Linked DNA regions of Sus scrofa. The protein of the gene in region 2 binds, or shares a complex with, the protein of the main gene of each other region. Links are inferred from orthologs where the notes say so. Each region holds a gene or a part of one and is shown on either strand. Other genes may lie near its edges.

Region 1 (10,375 bases), on a different chromosome or scaffold from region 2:
GCCTTGCTTCAGTACTCCTGTTACAGCTCCTTCCTCACCTGAAGGCACTCCTCCCCCAAATACCATCTTTAACTGGGGCCACAGCTGCCCCCTTCCCCTCCCCAACCCTCAGCTCCCCCAGGGCCCTTCAGGTATCCTGCTTGCCAGGACAGGGATATCATAAGGTCCTCTAAGGCCCACCTGTCAACCCGTGGTTTGTCTTGCAGAGTGTACACTGACCAGCGCCATGGCCCCCGCCGTCAGCAGGTGGTCCTTGGAAGGATCAGAGGCGGGTGTAGGGCGTTCCTGCTATGGCACGGGTCGCAGCTGAGGCTCGGATTTGATTCCTGTCCCAGGAACCTTCATAGGTGGCAGGTGTGGCTGAAAAAGGGGAAAAAAGAAATGGATGTAAAAGTGCCTGAATCCCAACCCCATTTCAAACTTCTTGGGATGCAAGGGGGCAAAGGGTACCCCCATGAAGACACCTCCTGTCACCCCAACCCTGCAGAGAACCTGAACCTCCAGCTCCACCGAGGTCAACTTAGCCCAGTGCTCGGCGGCCCTGGCTCCTAGGATTACTTGGAAAGGAAGAGAACAGAACCATTCTGAGCGGGACCGGGGAGGCAGGGGACACGGGTGCTGGCGGCCTAGAGCCGGAAGGGGGTCCCGCTGTAAAGGCAGCCGGCTTAGCAGCCCCCTTACCTCCAGGACTGCGGACGAGGCCGCCAGCGGTCACCACGGACGTAGCTCCACGCACACTCTCTTCACCTCACAGCTTTCTCCGCGCTCAGGTCGGGTCAGAAGAGACGCCCCCAACACCTCCCCGCCCCGGCACCAGCCCAGGCCGAGGCCGCCTCTCCCGCACTCGGCAACTCAAACTCCACGCCCACCGCGCGGAGTCCAGCTCCGGGGCGCGTGAGGGTTAACCTCGCGGGGGTGGGGACTTGGGCGCAGTCGGCGTTGGGAGGGAGGGGAGAGGAGGCGGCGGGAGGCCACTGGGTTGAGGCTCCGAGCCCGGCGGAGCCTCGGGTGTCTCAGGCCGTCGAGCAGTCACTGGGTCACACGCTGCGCGCAGCGAGGGGCCACTGCAGACCCCCTGCCCCAAACTTCAAGTCGGGAGCGGGGGAGAGAGACGCCGGGCATTAAGGCAGTGGCAGCCTGTCAGGACGCTGCCCCCTCCCCCGGGACCGCTACCTCTAGAACCCCACCTCGGCGAGCCTCTTCCCAGCCGTCTCCGCTCCTGCTCCGGCCACTTGGTCGCCTTTGGCCCAGGATGAAGCCCAGAGGCGGCGGCGGCGGCAGCCCCACGACGGCCCCGGAGTCTGAGTCGGCCGACGTGGCCCTGGGTCCGCTGTCGCCCTGGGCCTGCCCGGCTGACGTGCGGCTCTGCGGCCACCTTCGGAAGCACAAGTCCCAGCACCGCCGCTTCTTCGTGCTCCGCGCGGACCCGCCGCGCCTCGAGTGTTACGAGAGCGAGAAGAAGTTCCACGCCGGCCGAGCGGCTCCCAAGCTCAGCGTGAGCCTGACGGGCGCGTGCACCATCAGCAAGCGCGTGGACGCGCGCCAGCGCCACCTGATCTTCCTCTTCACCGCCGACCGCAGCCTGGGCGTGGCGGCGGCCAGCGAGGCGGAGCAGCAGGCGTGGTACAGCGCCCTGCTTGAGGCGCGCGCCGCCGCCGGTGAGGCCCAAGCCCAGGGTGGGAGGGTGGGGGGGGTGATCGTGGATTTGGCTTATCCGTAGGCTGTCCCTCCCCCAGGTCTCCGAAATCCAATCCAAAATGAAGCGTTTACGCGTTGTCAGTCCCCGGGGCACACTGACTCCAAGCTCCCGGCCCAGAAGCTCTGTGACCCGCCTGTTGTCTCTCCAGGGCCCAGCTCCCACGAGGACCCCGAGGCCTGGATGCTCGCTCCGTTTCAGGACATCTGGCCCGTGACGCTGCGGCCCAAGGGGCTGGGGCAGACACGAGGCCTGGGCAGCGGCGGCTACTGCTTGTGCCTGGGTTCCGGGGTACTGAGCCTGCTGCGGAAGCCCAGGGGCAGAAGCTCCAGGGCCACCCAGGCACCTCCGCCCCCAGCCCTGCGCCTGTCCCTGCTCAGCGTGCGCCGCTGTGGTCACGCAGACTCTTTCTTCTTCCTGGAGCTCGGGCGCTCAGCACCCACAGGTCCCGGGGAGCTGTGGCTACAGGCGCCCGATGCTGTGATGGCCCAAAGCATTCACGAGACTGTCCTGGCCGCCATGAAGCGAATCGGGGACACTGGTGCTAGTGGCAGGACTGAGCCACTGCCAAGAAAGCCCCCGACGAGGGCCCCCAGACCCTCTGAGACCCCAGCCTCTGCGGCTCAGTCAGGCAGCCTGAACCGTCTGGGGTGCCCTAGTGAGAGGAGCGAGCAAGCAACCCCTAAGACGCTGGCGATGCTGGGGGCAGCGGCCTCACAGCCTGAGGGGTTGGGGCGGGGCGGGGGCTACATAACCATGGGAGCCAGGAGAGACTACGTGCCCATGGGAGACGGGCAAGCCAGCAGCTACGTGGTGATGGCGCCCCTGGGCCTCCCTGCCTCGGCCAAAGCCGCTCCCCATCAGCCACCTCTGGATGGCGGGCACTCTGAATACGTGTCCATGAGCCGCTGTGCACCACGGTCCCTTTTCTTGAGCTCTTTGCCCGGTTCCTACAGGCCTGGGGCCGGGGAGCCTGAAACGGGGCTCCAAAGCCCTCCTCTGCGCGTCGGAGGCAGCTGGGGCCCCACAGGGGCTCAGCCCTGCTTGCAGCCGCCGTCAGAGCTGGCCGGGGAGTACGTGTGCATCGAGTACTCGGACCACGTAGCCACACCCGAAACCCCCGCCAGCTGCCTCAACTACGTCGACCTGGACCTGGTCCCTCCCCTGGAGGCGGGAGGCAACGCCCCCGGGGCCAGGCACGGCCCGCACAGCTACGCCCGCATAGAGTTCCAGAACTCTGGGGAGGCCCGAGGGAGGAGACCCTGGCAACCCCGTCTGGTTTAACTGACAGACGGAGACGGCGGGAGAAAACAGGGCAAAGTTAAGAGTGCTTTCCTGCCCACGCCCCTCAACCCCACAGACCCCTTCCCTGAGACGGAGAGGCTCTAAAGCAGAGATGTCCCCTAGGAGGTGTGACCCGCAGAGGCTTGCTAAGCTGCTTCTTGGGGCCTGGTGCCCACTCCGCCCCTTTCAGCTGTGCCGCCTGGGAAATCTTTGGGAGGAGGTTCCCCAAGAAGCTGGATTCTTTTAAGGGAGAAAATTCTAGAACTCTCCCTCCCCTTGAAAACAAACCCCCAAAACCTCCACAACCTCACAGATTTCTGGACATTCTCAGCCAAAGCCCTGATCCTGTTTCCCCCAGAGGCCCCGCAGCATCACTCCAGAGCCTTAAGTCAGGCCCCTGCCCCGGCCTCGGCTGCGGAAGATATGGACCTGGACCTGCCCCTGCCCCTCCCCCGCAGGCCCGCAGGGCTGGCCTGGTGTATCTTTGGAGCCAAAGAACCACCCCCGAGACATACACACACGTCCAGCCTCAGGGCTGAACTCCTGGGGCCCCAGAGCACCAGGAGTCCTACACTAGGGCCTCCCCAAAGTGAGGCACCCCCTTACTCCCTAGTTTCCCTCTCCCAACGCCAGCTCTGTGCTCACGATCCTCCCTGCTCCCAGAGCTGGCAGAGCTGATGGAGTCCTTGCTTCCTATATAATTAGTCTAAGAGACTAGACTCCCCACCCCGCCCCCGACATTAAAGGTTCCCTGCTTGGTCAGCTGGAAAGATCTTAGGTCCATGGATTCCCCCGCCCTGGAGGGGGTGGGGAGGGCAGCCAAAACCGTGGTGGAGGAGGGGACCCCATCCCTGCCTCCACAACCCACTCTGCTATCTACCACGAGGAACTTGTCTGCAAACCAACACTGTTTTATTGTCAACAGAACCTGCCTGGGGAAGTAGGGGGCCCACTCTGCCCCCAGAGAGGCTATGGACCATGGGTGTCTGGGGTTCGTGGGAGAGATGGGTCAGTGCAGTGAGAACAGCTTTGGGCACCACTGGCACCCGGGTGGTCAGAGACGAGGTCTGGGGGGCCGGGAGGGGGCGGGGGAGCCCCGGAGAAGCTGGGCCTCGGCTCCCCCTGGCTCATCTGCAGGAGACCGGTGAGGGCGATCAGCTCGGGCCCACTGAGCCAGGCGGTGGGACAGCCAGAGGATGGAGTGGGGAGCACCCAGGGGGACATGATCGGGGGTGGGAGCAGCAGCTTCAGAGAGCCCATCACCTGAGGAGAGAGGAGGGGCAAGTGTCTCTTCCCAAGCCCTGCGGTGAGCGCTGGGGTGAGGCCAGGGCAGGAAGAGCGCTCACCTGCTGAGGGGGCTCGGACAGGTATAGGGGAACACGCTGCCCACAAGGCAGAAGAGGGTCTGAAAGAAAGACATCTTCACAGGACATCACAGGGAGCCCTGGGGAGGAGAAAGAAGCTACTAGGGCAGCAAGCTCTGCTCCGGTTCCCTGCAGAGCTGAGGGGACCAAGGGCAGTACCTGCATCCCTCGGCACCTGCTCTCGGCTCCAATGTCCTGTCAGACCCGGCCTGAGGCCTCTGCCTGAGACTGCCTCATACAGGGGCCAGAATGACGGATGACACAAAGTCCGGCCTGAGAAGGAGGCACCAGATGCACAGCTGGGTCCCTGGAGAGACAGGTGAGGTTCCTGCAGCTTCAGCCCCATCCCAAGGCAGCCCTGCCCCACCCGAGGCCAGAGCCGCAGGTACCCCCAACTCACCCACACCTGCCGTGGTTCTGCTTGAGCCTCATAGTTGGGGTCCCAAGGTGTTAGCAAGGTCATCCTTGATGGGGCCACCTCCCAGGTCATCTCGGGGGAGAGAGGACCTGGGGGGAGGGGACTTGAAGCAATTAAGACAGGCTCAGGAATCGGTAAAAGCGTCTTAGGAGAAAAAATGGCAGGACCTTAAACCTACCTGGGGTTCCCGAGGACCGCTCTGCAGCCAAGCATGGGGGCCTCCAAGGCAGCAGCTGCTCTTTCCAGGTCCAGGAAGGCCTTAGGGACCTGGGCTGAGGGCTGAGAGGGGGTGGTACTGAGATGCTCCAGTCACAGCCTCTCCCAGTCACCTCCCTGCTCCAAATCTGAGTTATTTCCAAGGCAGGCCCAAGGGTGCCCAGGGCGGGGAGAAGGCTCACACCCATTCTTCAGCAGGGACACTGAGATTTTCTCACATTGTGGGCTCCTGTTTCCCCCAAGAGCCGCCAGCCAAGCCCCTCACCTGTCCTGTGGTGGTGTTTCCGGCTCCTCTCCAGAGTCCCAGGTCTGGCCGGGGTTACTGCCCATCCAGGGGCCTTGTTCCTCGGGCGCCGGCTCCCCGCCCGCGCCCCACCGCCGGGGGGTCCAGGGCAACATGCCCCGTCTGGGTGCAGGGCTGGGCAGCACCTCCGCGCCCTCCGCCCGCCTGGCCGCTCCTGGAACCCACTCGGGCTCTACCTCCCTTAGCGGCCAGCGGAGCCCTAAGCGTCCCGGTCCCCGCGAGCCCAGGTCGGCCCACCTCTCAGGGCCTCGCGACGCCGGCGCCCAGCGCGTTTCCGGGCCACGTGGCGCGCGCTCCCGCCGGGATCCCGTGGGCGCCCCCTGGCGGCGGGGGACCTGTGGCGCCCAGTGGAGATGCGGGCGACCCAGCTTTCGTTCGCAGACACACACACATACACACACACCCCCCGAGGGGCAACCTAGATGGCTTCTGGCCTCTCTTTATTGCACTTGACACAATATTCAGGGCCCTCCTGCCATCCCAGACCCACGGCCGCACCCAGAGGTGACCACGCGCCTTGCTGGGCCGGCTTCCAATCTCTCAGGCCGAAGTGCCCGAGGAACAGGGCCAGGCCCGAGGCCGCCCTCACCAGTCCTCGCTAGAGAGCAGAGCCCAGGCGTGTCTGTCTTCTGTTCCTGGGGTCCTGGCCGGGTCGCGGCCCTGCACCCCCGACCTCAACCCCTAAGGCCGTTCCAGCAGTGCGTGGACGACAGCAGCGATGTAGGGGAGGCCCCTTCCCGGAGCCCCCTCCTCCTCCAGGATGTGGTGGGGCTGGCACAGGGACTCCTGGAGGGAGGGGCCAGGTTAAGTTCTTGTCACCTCCTCCTCTCGGCTGTAGGGTGGAAGGCACCCTGGAGGAGCCTGGGCAAAGGCGGCTGACAGCATGTAGGGGACAAAGGTCAGGGGCACCCTGGACATGGCTTGAGGACAAATGAGATGCAAGGAAGCTGCCAGTGGGTGACAGAAGGAAGATGACACAGGGGGCCAAGGCTCAGAGGGAAGGAGAGACCTGACATTTCCAGAGGGAAATGCTGGAGTAGGCAGGCTGGCACATGGAGCCCAAGGGACACGGCCAGGGCTGGGCCCAGGCACAGAGGGAGCAGACGCAAACACACATACACATACACACACACACACACACACACAGGTGGCCACAGTCTGTACAATTTATACAAGAGACAGGGACCCAGCCTGGGCCCCTCATCCCCTACAAATATAGAGTTCTCTCTACAAAATATAGATAATTTAGCCCCCCCTAGCGGGGGGGGGGAGATTAGGATCCACCCTCTGGGGAAGCAGAGGGCAGGGCAGGGAGAGGCTCGAAGGCACCGTCAGCGCTGAGAGGGGAGGGGCTACAGGAGGCGGGCCAGAGGCTGCGGGCCCAGGGTCTGGGGGCACCAGAGTGGGGCCTCTGAGGTCAGTGTTTCTGAGGGGAGGGGGCTCACTAGTGTCTTTGGTAGGGGCTGAAGGCACCACCGGTGGGGATGGGGCTCCCACGGGAGTCTTATAAATAGAAACAGGGCGAGGGGGTAAGGGCAGGGGTGACTTCAGGTCCTAAGAACCCAGGAGCCGAGTGTAGACGACACAGAGCAGCAGCATGAGGACGACGTAGAAGAAGATGAAGCCGCCCAGACCAGAGGGAGGCCAGAGGGGTGGGGGAGGCCTGCCCCCCACCCGCTTCACGGCCTCCAGGGTGGTCCACAGCCCCTGGGCGGTGCCCTGGAGGAGGTCCGAGGGCGAGCACAGGTCAGCCTGGGAAGGGAGAGTAGGACAGATGGACAAGGACAAAGGACACACGTCAGCAGCAGCAGCACGACGATCCTTCCCACCCCCTGCCCTCACGTGCCAGGGCCAGAGCCACGCCAACATGCAGAGTGCAGGGAAGGGGGGCACGCAGGGGACACATGCAGGCTCGGGGCTGGGGGACGTGCTTCCTTCTGGGGAGCAGACACCCCCCAGGAATGCAGTCCCGCCGTCCATGCAGAGTGCTCAGCTGAGCCCAGGACACGGCACTCTTTAGAGCAGAGACCAGCCCTGGGCTCCTGAGAACACACCCCCATACCTCAGGCACCCCCATTTTTCGACAGGCTTCTAAGAAACTCTCCACATTCTTCCGAGACTTGAGGGCACTGAGTTTTGGCTGGGGGTGGGTAAGGAAGAAAAAAAAAGTAAGGGAGAAGCCACAGGAGTCCCCCGTCCCAACCCCTACTTCCTGTCCTGGGCCCCAACTGACCACAGCAGGCGAGGGCACGTGAATGAAGGGCACAGACCGCGGCCGCAGCTGGTTGGCCAGCTGACAGAGGATGACCCCACTGGCCAGAGCCTCGGCCAGGTCCTCGGGCAGGGGCCGCTGCAGCCGTGACTCAAGGACCTGGGAGGCAGGGGGAGCCGGGAGAGAGGTCAGGGTCAGCAGGGAACCCCCTCCCGTCCCTTCCATCTTCCGCGGAAGTACCAGGGTGGGCGGAGAGGATGTCGAGGGAAGCCCAGGCCCCACGCAGACCCCGCCTCTCATACCTGGCGCAGCTGAGCCATCACCTCCTTTTCGTCCAACAGCTGAGGGGATCGCCGAGGTCTCAGGACAGAGTCTGGTGAGGAAGGGCCTGGAGAAAGAGGAAGGTGTGGGGCTGTCTCCACTGGCCTCCACCCACCTTGTAGCCAGTTCGCAGTGTCTGGCACCCACATCTCCTGCCTCTGTGCTCATGGGATTTGCAACACAAAAAGGCAACTGAGGAGTTCCCATGGTGGCGCAGTGGAAACGAATCCGACTAGGAACCATGAGGTTTGTGGGTTCGATCTTTGGCCTCGCTCAGTGGGTTAAGAATCCGGAGTTGCTGTGAGCTGTGGTGTAGGTCGCAGACGTGGCTCAGATCCCCTGTTGCTGTGGCTCTAGTATAGGCCGGCTGTTGTAGCTCCCATTGGATCCCTAGCCTAGGAACCTCCATATGCTGCGGGTGAGGCCCTAGAAAGCAAAAAAAAAAAGAAAGGGCAACTGAGCAGAGAACTCCCAGGCCAGCAGAAGGGATGACCCCAGCCCATGGCTTAGTACTGGGTTAGTACTGGATTAGCACTGGGTTAGTACTGGGGCGGGGGAAGACCCACCTGAGCCACTCTGAGAAGAAGAACGGAAGAGGAAGCTGTTTGGTCTCTGGATGGAGCCGAGCGGCCGGGGAGCCGGGGCGGTTGCTGGGGGCCAGAGCCAGGGGGCAGGGGCAGGTGAGAGAAACATCCCCGCAGGGTCCTACTCCCTCTCAGGCCACCAGGTCTCCCTCTTCCCAAAGCCCCTGTCCCACCTGGTTCAGCTACAGGAAGGGGCTCCTGGCAGGTGGAAGCCGGAGTGGGGGCAGGGGCTCCCTGCCCCCCTGAAGCTCCCTGCTGGGGGGCACTGGGCTTAGGTGTGCTGCTGAGGAGAAACAGAAGGAGAATGAGAGGGGGGAGTCAGGGGAGGGGTGTGAAGGGACAGGATGGAGTGGGGGGAGGGGGGGAGTCCAGGAGGACACATACTTGTAGGTGGCCTGAGCGGATGAGGCAGCAGCACCCCCACCAGCAGCCCTGACTCCCAACTTCAGAAAACTGGAAAATGGAGGAGGACATGTGGGGTGAGTAGTGCCAGGCAGGGGCCCCGCCAACCCTGACTGGCAGAGAAGCTCAGGAGGGCTTACTCCCAGAGCCCACCGCCCGGCAGTCACCCCCAGGCCCGCACCTGTCCTTCCTGGGGGCCCCCCACACCCCACTCTGCTGCTGCTGCTGCTGCTGCTGCCGCCGCTCACGCTCCTGCCACAACTGCAAGGTGTCTGGGCGCCGGCGCTCCTCCCCTGCAGGCTCCTCCCGCCTGAGGGGCAAAGGCAGAGGAGAGGTAGAGCCGGGTCCAGGGAGGGCAGAGGTGCGGGTGATGGGGTAAAGGGAGGAGGTGCAGGCTCAGGCAGCTCTGGGTACCTGCTGCTTGGCGCCCTCTCCCTGTCCCCTGCCACGGGGCTCGATTCTGGTGGCCGCTGCTCCTGAAGGAATAACAGCAGAGGGGCTGAGGGGGTCCCTCGAGCCTGCTCTAGTGCCCTCCCTGCAGCCCGCTGGTGGCGGACACACACGTGAAAGCAGGCAGCCCTCACCTCGCCAGCACCTCGATCTTCCTCCTCCCCAGGGACGTGGCTGTCGATGAAGTCAATCTGCTCGGGGTCTCCGTCGGCTGGAGAGAGGGCAGGTCAGCCAGCAGATGGGGGCCTTTAGGCCCTCATCCATTCCCCCGAGCCCCCAGCCTAACCCCACAACTCACCAGAGCCATCCTCCCTCCGCTCCCTGGGTCCCCGAGGCTCCCGGGCCAGCTCCGAGATCCGGAACGACAGCTCAGAAAACTCATCCGTCGACTGTAAATGCAGAGATGCACAGAAGGGAGACAGGCTCTCTGGGGTTGGGGGCTCCCAGTGCTCAGGGCCTCAGGCTCTGCTCCTGAGCCAGCCCTTCCCAGAGATACAAGGGCGAGGGAAGGAAGACGACAGCTCCAGCCACCAGCTGTCACTCTGAGATTTAGAGGCAGCAGGCAAAGGGTCCCAGCTCAGAGGCTCCCCCCAGGGTGGAGATGCCCAGTGTCCAGGGAAAGAAGGCCTTTACCTCATTTCCAGACCACCTCTTGCTGCCACTGTCAACGCTGTGGAAGCCTGAGTCCAGCCCACCGTCGTACCGACGTCCCGGAAACAAGTCCTCAGCTGGGCTGGGGTCAGCAGCGAGAGCTGCTCAGCCCTACTGTGGGCTGGGCAGCAACCTCCCAACCTGCCCTCCATGGGGTCCCTGCCAGGAAGGGGTTAAGTATCCAGGGGCTTCCTTCCTTCCCACTTGAAACTTACCAGGGACTGAAACTCGGGGGGCGGGAAGGGGCCAGGTCTCCCAGTGCAGACCCCCCGCGCCGCCCAGCCTCCGTTGACAAATACTTGAAGATGTGAAGTTTCCCCTTCAGGCAGACCTAGGTGTGGAGGCACATGGAGGGGTAGTTAGGGGACAGGAGGGTGCTCCCCAGATCCTGCTTGGCTACCGAAGGGACCGACGCCCCAACTTCTGCCCATTCTCAGCCCTGTCCGCATGGCCCAGCCCAGGCCACCCCTCAC
Region 2 (9,644 bases):
ATGTTCTTTGGGACACAGTTTGGAAGTTCTAATGAGAACAACTGATCCTGATACTCCAGAAGAGGAGAGGAGAGTAAAACCAAAACCAGCACTAGAACTAAAGAATATCCTTTATCTCCAAGCCAAAAGTTAAATGCTATTGGCAAGGAGAGGAATACCTCCTGCCAGCTCTTGAGGGAAGACTAGGGAGGAATAATAACATCTGGGCACTTGTGAATTATGCAGCAGATAAGTTTTCACCAGGTGATACCAAGGGAGGACCCAGCTCTTAGCAGGGATTCACAGTATGGTACAGAGTGCCATGGACGTGGAGGAGCCTGGGGCTCAGCCCAGGCCTCCCCTGTGGTGCCTGGCCTTAGGTGGGTACAACAGCCCCACTATAACTCAGACCCAAGGTTTGTTAGGAGAAAGAAGTAAGACATTCTTGGTAAAAATGGCAAGTTAAGTCTTATTAAATAACAGGTATCAATTTTACCAAGACAAAGAGTGATTTTTCTTATTAAAAAACAAAGATGTGAAAGTCAGTTAGTACTAAGTGGCAGGAACGTGGGTAGGTGTTTTCTCCCTTGTTCTTTTCTCTATTTTAAAATATCCCCTCAAACACAGACAGCATTCCACTATGGATTTTAAACGTTTGTTCTCTACTGTTGGTTACACAGAACCCCAACAAGAAGCTCCACTATTCCACACTCCACCTGATTTCCAACAACAGCCTTGAGGACAAATGGAGATCTCATGGGATAACCAAGTTGAAAAGGAGAATCTTAATTAATGGGATGCTAAATCCGTCAAGGACACTAAAGCATGAAGGGCGTATTTGCTCGGGTACCTTTTAAGGACAATTGGGACGGCAATGGAGGGGTTCTTTCTCAGACCATCAATGATGTCAGCTGCTTTATCAGCATATATCCTCTGGAGTGCTTTTCGATGGATAACTTCCGATGTGCCCCCAAGGGTGTTGTCCAAGCGAAATTTGGCTTGTTCCTCAGCAGACAAGCGGGAAAGCTTCTTCTGTATTGCTTCCAGAACCCGGATGGTTGCCAGATTGGTCTCTAATACTACATCAAGCTAAAGAAAAAATACAGGGTGTACTTAAGACCCAAACCAGAAAAGAGCTGTCAGGAGTATGGGTAGAAGTCAAACTCTATGGATCTGAATCCTCGCTCGGCCACGCTAAAGCCATATAAAACACTGTTTCCTTATCGGTACAACCGGGATAACACCACCTACTCTCACAAGGTTGTTTACTGAATAGAGGGGTTAGCACAATGCTAGACACACAAGAAACATCCAATAAATGATCACTAAGTGATAGTTAATATTTCTTCCACCACCAGTATGCTTTTTTTCTGGCCCTCACACCAGACCTACCTAATGGAGGAGGCAACCTGACTGACACTTTCCCTGAACTTTCATGAATTACTAAGTTCTGTTACCAACAATAACAACCACAACAACAAAATTCCAAAAAGATCACTCAAGATGATAAACCAGTCTTACGAGTAAGATTTTTCAGGGTAACTTGAAATACATGATTAAATATTTAATAGTCTCATTCTACATCCAGTAGTAATAAGAACTGTGACTATCATTCCTTAAGTGCTTCAGATTTTTCAGGGTAACTTGAAATACATGATTAAATATTTAATAGTCTCATTCCACATCCAGTAGTAATAAGAACTGTGACTATCATTCCTTAAGTGTTGGAGCTGCGGGTAACCATTTGAACTCTTACTGAATTTCTCGTACTTTACTTTCTGGCAAGGACCTAGCCCAGCCTGGTTAAGGATATACACGACTAGCAAACTTTTTTTTTGCTTTTTAGGGCTGCACTTGTGGCATATGGAAGTTCCCAGGCTACAGACTGAATTGGAGCTGCAGCTGCTGACCTACACCATAGCCACGGCAAGGCCAGATCTGAGCTGCACCTACCATCTACACTGCAGCTCACAGCAACACCGGATCCTTAACCAATGAGTGAGGCCAGGGATTGAAACTGCATCCTCATGGATACCAGTCATGTCCATTATTGCTAACCCACAATGGGAACGCCACAACTTTTTAACACAAAATTCTCTAGATGAGACACAGAAAATGAAGTAAGTGAGCATTCTAAAGAGCATATAACCAAATGTCTGAGTGTTGCTAAGTTCTCTAGTTTCAGGACTACAGTAGTCATTTCGTCAAATATTTCTGGTCCTCCTTTTCCAGTTATGGATAAATGATGGATTGAACTTCTTGGCTCCTTTGTGATTAGAGAGGGCCATGTAACTAGTTCGGGAAAATGAGTTGTAAACAGGTTAGTGGAAGTAATATCTGTTCTAGGCCTGAGGATTTCAGGGGGCAAGATCCATCTGAGCTTTTTTCCCCCCTAATCACTGGTGTTGTTCAAGATGGTGGCATTTTGTCAGCCTAGGTCCCCAAGTAATTCTGATGAGCAGAATCTCCTGCTAAACATCAATGCACATGTAGTATGATGAAGAAGTAAATCTGTTTTTTCAAGCCACTGAGATTTGGAGGTTGTCTGCACTGCAAGAATATTAACCTATGCTGATATATAAAGGAATGCTCCTTCACTAGTCCATCCCATCCAATCCTAAGCACATGCATGCATACATACATGCATACATACATGTTTCTTTCATCTTCACTCCTATAATCACAAATGGGAAATGAGGCTGTTGCCTCTCATTTGCAGGCATACCAACTGAGAAGAGGAATATTCTATCAAGAACAATGCCAATCTCTGCTTCCTAACTCATCACCTGACCTTGCAAAACATAGGTAAAAAAGAAATACTTTAGCTTGATAAAAACTTTCTATAGAAGCTAATATCTGTCACGATTGAGTATTCTGCAAATGGGTGACGCTCCTCATAAACGCTGGGGCAGAGATTGGCCGAGTGCCTGCCGTGGTGAAGCAACATGTGGCTCTTCGTTCAAAACATGCCAGAAACAGACGAAGCAAGCGTGAAGGGAGATTAACTGGCAGAGAGCTAAATCAGTATGGATTAAAAAAGTAGCAAAACATCTCCCATCTACAGGAATGAGCAGGGCCAGTTTTATATAATACATACATTAAATAGGATGCCTGTAATTTCACCTCTTTAGACACATTTATCATTCTCTTTTTGTTGTTGTCAGTGAACTAGACATTTAAACACACTAGGGAGTGAGTCCACTTTCAGTACCCCCACTCCTGGTATAGGGGGCTCTCTACCAGCTCATTTCTTCACTCCAGCTCTTTCCTTCCCAACTACTTTGAAATACAGTACCTAACTCAACTTTCTTTCAGAAGGAGCCACATCAGTATCAGAAATATGAGAGAAGAGCTCTAGCTCTCACTGGAGAGTTGGTTTGCTAACCATGTCATGATACCTGCTAAGAATAACACTCTAAGATAAATCATTTTTTGTTGTTGTTATTTTAGGGCCGCACTTGTGGCATGAGGAGGTTCCCAGGTTAGGGGTCGAATCAGAGCTGTAGCCACCAGGCTACACCACAGCCACAGCAATGCAGGATCCAAGCCACATCTATGACCTACACCACAGCTCATGGCAACGCCGGATCCTTAATCCACTGAGCAAGGCCAGGGGTCGAACCCACGTCCTCATGGATCCTAGTCGGGTTCACGAACCACTGAGCCATGAAGGGAACTCCTCTAAGATAAATAATTTAAAACAGCTGCAAAGAAAGCCCACAAGGTCTTAAAATACTCATTTTATATACCATGTAAAACACAATAACCTTCACGCCATTAAAAATTCAAAGAAGTATTATTCAGCCATCAATGGTTAAATTCAGCTAAAAAGGTTAAAGTGGCCTAGATAAATCACATTTGTCATAAAGATATCACTAAGATAATTGACAAAGTCATAAAACATGGTTAAGTACAATCACAACAGAAGAATGTGAGCCTCTCTGGTTCTTTGGTCTTAAGAGCCAACCCTCCCAGGTAGGTATTTAAGATACCCTCTCATTTCATATCTCCCATTTCCCCAAACTTCAAATGATGAAGAAGCTTGTACCTCAAAGCGTTCATCTTCACAACGATAGATATGTTCTTCATACTGAGTTTTCTTGGAACTAACAAAGGTGGAGTCCTCAGACCAGGAGGGGAAGGAGACCCAGGTATCATTTAAAACCTTTGGGTAAAAGAAGAGAAATTGAAACAAAAGTGTAACAAAGCTTTCTGGTGGATGATTAAGCATTCTTAGTAAAAAGAAAATTTTAGAAGGAAGAAACAGTTAACATTACAAGTTTCACCTATGGCAAGTTTGCAAAAGCTATTAACAGAAAAAGGTTCTCAATGTAAGTGTGAAACATTTTCTCAGGAAAAAAAAAAAAAAAAAAAAAAGGAGAGAGAAAGGAGTTTTGACTTCCTCATTCATATCAATTCTCCATCCCTGGTACCACAATCCCTTCTGGAGGAAGTTAAGGAATCAGGGCTAATCTTTTCTTGGGAAGGCCTTACCTCTTTACAAAGAGGAGTCCGTCCTGTGCACTTGGGCTGCTGATAACTCTTTGGTAGGGCTCGATAGCTGGAGCCCAACCGCTTACAAGAGGCATAGTCTATCTCCATAGCAATGCCCTCTGTGGCTCGTTCCTTTGGAAAGGTTTCCAGATGTACAGATTCCTTATAGCCCAGAAAGTTTTTAAACCAATTAAACAATTCTGGGAATTTCCTGAAGAATCAAATAAAAAATTGTTAACTATAAACATGATGCAGTTATACTGAGGTGTGATTACCACTATTTGGTGTTGGGTCAGAACTCTGCTACCACTGGACAAATTCCAATAATAAATATTATTTCCTGCCTAAGAAGCACTACTCTTCTGAATATGTGGTTTCTCCTTTTCTTCTCTTTCTCTAAAGATCAGTTAAGGTAGTGATGGAAGAACTGCACTGAAACTAGACAATAACGAGCCATTCTTCTAATCAAGATTATTGCTTCAATGTTCAGATAATTCTTAATTTGTCAAAGCCAGGATTCTATAACCCTGGAAAAGACTGGCTTTATAAACAGCCAATACCGGTCAGGAGATCAGGAGACCATAGTCTTGGCCAATGCCTTCTTCGCCTACTTTTTTGTCTCCAGAGAGGAACTAGAAGACTTCCCAGAGGACTCTTGTCATGGACATTTTAGGAGTCAACTGACCTGCCAAAATCAAATTAATTTCACCTACCATGTACTCCCACAAACTAGGTTTTATTTCACCTCCATATCAGGCATCAAGGCTAAGCCCTTGATTCCACTTACCCCAGGAAAGGAGAGACTAACTGCACAAGCTCAGCCCGAGAGATCACCTCCTGGTTAAAAATAACAAGACAGCGCAGGAAATTTTCATAGGCCTCTGTACTCCGCAGAGCCTTTCGGACCTTATGGAGACAATCGAAAGGAAAAATAGTTAAGTGGGGAATCAAGAGATCCTGGATTGTGTTTAAAATTGGGGAAATTTGAACTGCTATTTGATGATATTAAGGAATCAATGCTAGGTTTTTTAGATGCGATAATGTTTGGAAAAAAGGTATCATTTTAAAAGAAACCTAGTAAAATACCTACAGTTGAAATAATATATCATGTGGGATTTGTCTCCAAATAATCTGGGATAGCTGTGTGCACATCAAATAGTACACCGACTAGGAGCTAAGAACTGCTGAGGCTGGATGATGGGTATATGAAGGGTCATTTTACTATTCTCTTTAATTTCACATTTGTTTTAAATTTTCCATAAAAATTTGGAAAATGAGACCTTGAAGTAAACAAGACATTTACATTTTTACATGCTTGATTTTCCACACCCTATCAGAGTTACCCAAGATTCTGCTGCCTCTCCTGACTTTATACAAGAATCTTTATAAACACTCTTTTCAAACTCTGGTAATCTTGAATAATGACCTTTTAAAATAAGGTACTTTTGTCCTCTGACTTGATCTTTTCCCTTCCTCCATTCAGAACACTAATAAGCATTTTAATATCCAAAAACCTAGGTGTTCAGGAAGTTTCCATGTGGCACAGTGGGTTAAGGATCCAGTACTGGCCACAGTTATGGTACAGGTTGCAACAGCAGTATGGGTTTGATCCCTAGCCTGGAGACTTCCACACACCAGGTGTGGCCAAAAAAAAAAAAAAAGGTTCAGTGGCATAGACACAGTAAAACTTGCCTGGCTAGATAAGCAATCTAGAGTTTCAATGTCAAAAGTGTATATATCTAGCACTGTGGGGATTGCAGACCCTCACTCACCAAACCCGGTAGTTTATCAAAAAACCCCTTCCCCAGGCTCTCATATACTTTTCATAACTATCAATCGGTAGACACTATATGGAATATGGATTTTCAAGGCAAAAGATGAATATATACTATTACTTTAATTTGTTAGCTTTTATTATTAATTTTACTTAATATATATTTTTAAATTTTTTAATTAGCTGTTTTGATTTCTTCCATTTTCAATTTCTGCAAACCCATGCCCAGATAAATCACTGGGTGAAAACATAACGAAATTTATTTTATTTATTTTTTTGTCTTTTTAAGGCCGCATCCACGGCATATGGAGGTTCCCAGGCTAGGGGTCAAATGGGAGCTGTAGCTGCTGGCCTACACCACAGCCACAACAACACCAGATCTGAGCCATGTCTGCAACCTACACCATAGCTCAGGGCAACACCGGATCCTTAACCCATCGAGCAAGGCCAGGGATCAAACCTGCGTCCTCATGGATACTAGTCAGATTAGTTTCTGTTGAGCCACGGCGGAAATTCCTCTGTTAGTTTTAAACTTATACAAAAGTAGACAGAATAGTCTAATAAACCCTATATACTGAGCCAGCCTCAACAATCAATACACAGTAAATTTTGTTTCATCTACACCCATTTCCCCCACCACTGAATTCTAAAGCAAACTCCAGACTTTTCAGCTATACACACTTCAGTCATCTCTAAGAAACAAGTACTTCAAAAACAGCAATAAAAAATACTACTCTTTAAAAAAATTAACTTATTCAGTCCCCCTCTCTTACCCTTTCTTTGCCATTTGTCAGTTGTGACCTGGACTTCACATCTGCCTCAAAAGCCCCAAAGGCCCAGAGAGCCCTCAGAAATGGTTCAGGTCAAAGCTAGAGCCAGGGACTATTTTGCAGCACAGCTCGCATAGGCACAGGAGGGCTAGAGACAAATCGAGAGGCACCAATTCTGGAGATAATCATTTGCCCTTCGGCAAAAACCCAAGGATGCAAGACACGGTAAGTCACCACCAGATCAATCCAGGCTGGCTCCAGCCAGTGAGAAGTCTGAAGTTTGCTAGCCACTATGATAAAAGTAGCCTGCTAATTAAACTGACTCCAAGGAGGAAGTCAGACTCACACACCACACAACACTGACTACACCTGTAATCGCAACCCTGTCTGCTCATTAGAATCACCTGGGGAGCTTTGAAAACATACAAGGAAATCAGAATTCCCATTAACCCTATATGCCATACCTCGAACAAGTATAACAATTAGAAGGTTACAAGTCATCTTAAGTCCTCAATAATTAGTATACTGACACTCCTCACTATATAGTTCTGGGCATCTACAATGAGGAGCTCCAAACATCTTTTGAGAGCAATATGCCTTTTTTAAAAGCTTTCTTCCATGATGGCAAATGCTATATTTTGCTTCAAACTACTTCACAAAACCCAAGCAGTCAATGCTACCATTTCTCTAGCTGTGCTAATAGTTCTCATAGACTGAAAGGACCTACAATTTGGAAACTGTTAAAAAGTAGAAAATCCTTAAAAAAAAAAAAAAAAAAAAAAAAAGTCCTACCTAATTATCTTGATGTCTCTAAAACAAAATCTTTTGGGGGACGAGGTTATTTTCTTTGGGCATTAAGAGCTGATATTAAATCCAATTCATTCAACACTCACCTTATCAAAAAATAACGATTCCGTTCCTACACCATGCTTGCTGGCATCTGCCATAGAAGAATCCTTGAGACTGAGCAGTTTGGGTTTCTTCTGCAAAAAAAAGGAAGAATACAGGACAGACACATAAGATTCAAAGAAGTTTTCTGAGTTTCGTTTTCATCTCTGTTTGATAGTTCCATCACTAATCCGCCACTGATTAGTAATTTGCAACAAATAAGAGAATCCAAGTCACTAACTTGCCTTACATCCTGAAAGATTTCCACTCTTTTCTATTTCAGATTGCCGTCGGTTTTTTCCTAGAGGTTCACAGATCATTCTACTCCCCAAATACTCTCTATAAATGGTCACAGCACTACTATGATGTTAGAATTAATATCCTTACTTTTTCCATAGGCAAAAAAATTTAGAACCTAATGCCAATGCCTTGTCTTCTTAGCTGTGGAGGCAGAAAAGTTTTTAAAAAGAGCTGGAGTACATAGAAATCAATCTTTAACCTTCACCTTTTAATCAGTTTGAAAATTCACGAAAAAAGCAGTATATTTTCCTATTAGAAGGAATAATTACCTTGCTGGCAGAAGCCACTCAAACCAGAGTTAAGACTGCTCTTTCAAATCAAATGAATAGGCCATGATATAACTACCAAGCAAAAAATTTACTTTAAAAAAGCCACCTCTAAACTACATGTCAAGAAATGCACAAACTTTGGGAGAAGCTGCACATTAACCTCCGCCACCTTGGAGAACACTCTCTCGCAGGAGCCACAGCCTCTACTTATATTGCCTAAGGAGAAGGCAGATAGGGAATTCTAACCTCCCAATATAGTGTTTCCACCTGTGGGTCATCAAGTGTGGGAGGAGACCAAGATTGAAGCATGTCTCCTGACCTGTTCTTACTACTCATAAAACACTCCTTACTAAAGTGAGGAAATATAAACTACTGCTATGTTCAACTTGCTTCCAAAAGGAGAAACTATTAAAAACATTGAAAAATAGTTCTTCAAAGTGTCAGCAATCCATAACAGGTCAGTCTTTGCGGTCATTTGCTGGTTTATCAGTCCTTTTTTTTTTTTTGCTTCTTAGGGCCACACCTGAGGTACATGGAAATTCCCAGGCTAGGGGTGGAATCAGAGCTACAGCTGCTGGCTTGCGCCTCAGCAATTCACAATCTGAGCTGCGTCTGTGACCTACACCACAGCTCACAGCAATGTCAGATCCTTAACCCACTGAGCAAGACCAGGGACTGAACTCAATGATACCAGTCAGGTTCATAACCTGCTGAACTGCAACAAGAACTCCCTCGGTCATTTCTTACCGTAAGAAGTTACACTAGCTTTTATTCTTTAATTAAATTCTGCGGACACATCTATCTCTTCAATGCTATATGTTAGAATTCAACATTCAATACATACACCTAGTCTGCTCCCTAGCACAGGTGCCCCATATTAAAGAGAAAGGGAGTGGGCTCAGCTTTTTGCAGGCAGACCATCAGTATTGGCTGTAACAAGAAGCATCATGAGATAGGTCACTAAGAGGAGTTTAAGACCACCCTGTTACAGCCCAAAGTTCCTCCTTGGAGATTAAGATGATACAGGTAAGATGTGGCAACCCAAAAGAACCTTGAGCAGGATAGGTCTCTAAACCGAAGAAGAGATCCCACAAAGCATATGCACTTTACTCACAAAAGAACCTCAGAGACCACTGACTTATTTTGGGAACAATTATCGAACTTAATAAT

The links.
Region 1: the proteins of SIN3A (region 2) and SAP25 are in contact, whole or in part, in an NMR structure (PDB 2RMS), measured with the Mus musculus proteins. The link is inferred for Sus scrofa from reciprocal best matches to the Homo sapiens genes SIN3A and SAP25. Residues at the interface, in NP_001103821.1 of Mus musculus: Leu121, Lys122, Val123, Ala126, Leu127, Leu130, Tyr144, Phe147, Leu148, Met151, Lys152, Phe154, Lys155, Thr161, Val164, Phe182, Phe185, Leu186, Pro187; in NP_001075431.2 of Mus musculus: Ala208, Glu209, Ile211, Ala212, Leu213, Ala214, Gly215, Leu216, Leu217, Gln218, Met219, Ser220, Glu223.

Annotation. Positions count from the first base shown.
Region 1 is NC_010445.4:8,493,579-8,503,953, forward strand, and holds SAP25 (histone deacetylase complex subunit SAP25), read right to left. Parts: upstream 6,837-10,375; 5' UTR 5,378-6,836; coding exon 5,244-5,377; intron 5,042-5,243; coding exon 4,941-5,041; intron 4,852-4,940; coding exon 4,745-4,851; intron 4,652-4,744; coding exon 4,504-4,651; intron 4,425-4,503; coding exon 4,327-4,424; intron 4,244-4,326; coding exon 3,950-4,243; 3' UTR 3,871-3,949; downstream 1-3,870. Other genes in the region: insulin receptor substrate 1-like, read left to right, coding at 1,253-1,658, 1,737-2,980; LRCH4 (leucine-rich repeat and calponin homology domain-containing protein 4), read right to left, coding at 7,081-7,422, 7,516-7,653, 7,797-7,882, 8,382-8,465, 8,573-8,682, 8,784-8,852, 8,983-9,111, 9,216-9,277 and 4 more. UniProt on the Homo sapiens protein: Involved in the transcriptional repression mediated by the mSIN3A but not the N-CoR corepressor complex.
Region 2 is NC_010449.5:58,210,991-58,220,634, reverse strand, and holds part of SIN3A (paired amphipathic helix protein Sin3a), read right to left. Parts: intron 8,001-9,644; coding exon 7,911-8,000; intron 5,380-7,910; coding exon 5,261-5,379; intron 4,685-5,260; coding exon 4,474-4,684; intron 4,145-4,473; coding exon 4,028-4,144; intron 1,069-4,027; coding exon 830-1,068; intron 1-829. UniProt on the Homo sapiens protein: Acts as a transcriptional repressor. Corepressor for REST. Interacts with MXI1 to repress MYC responsive genes and antagonize MYC oncogenic activities. Also interacts with MXD1-MAX heterodimers to repress transcription by tethering SIN3A to DNA.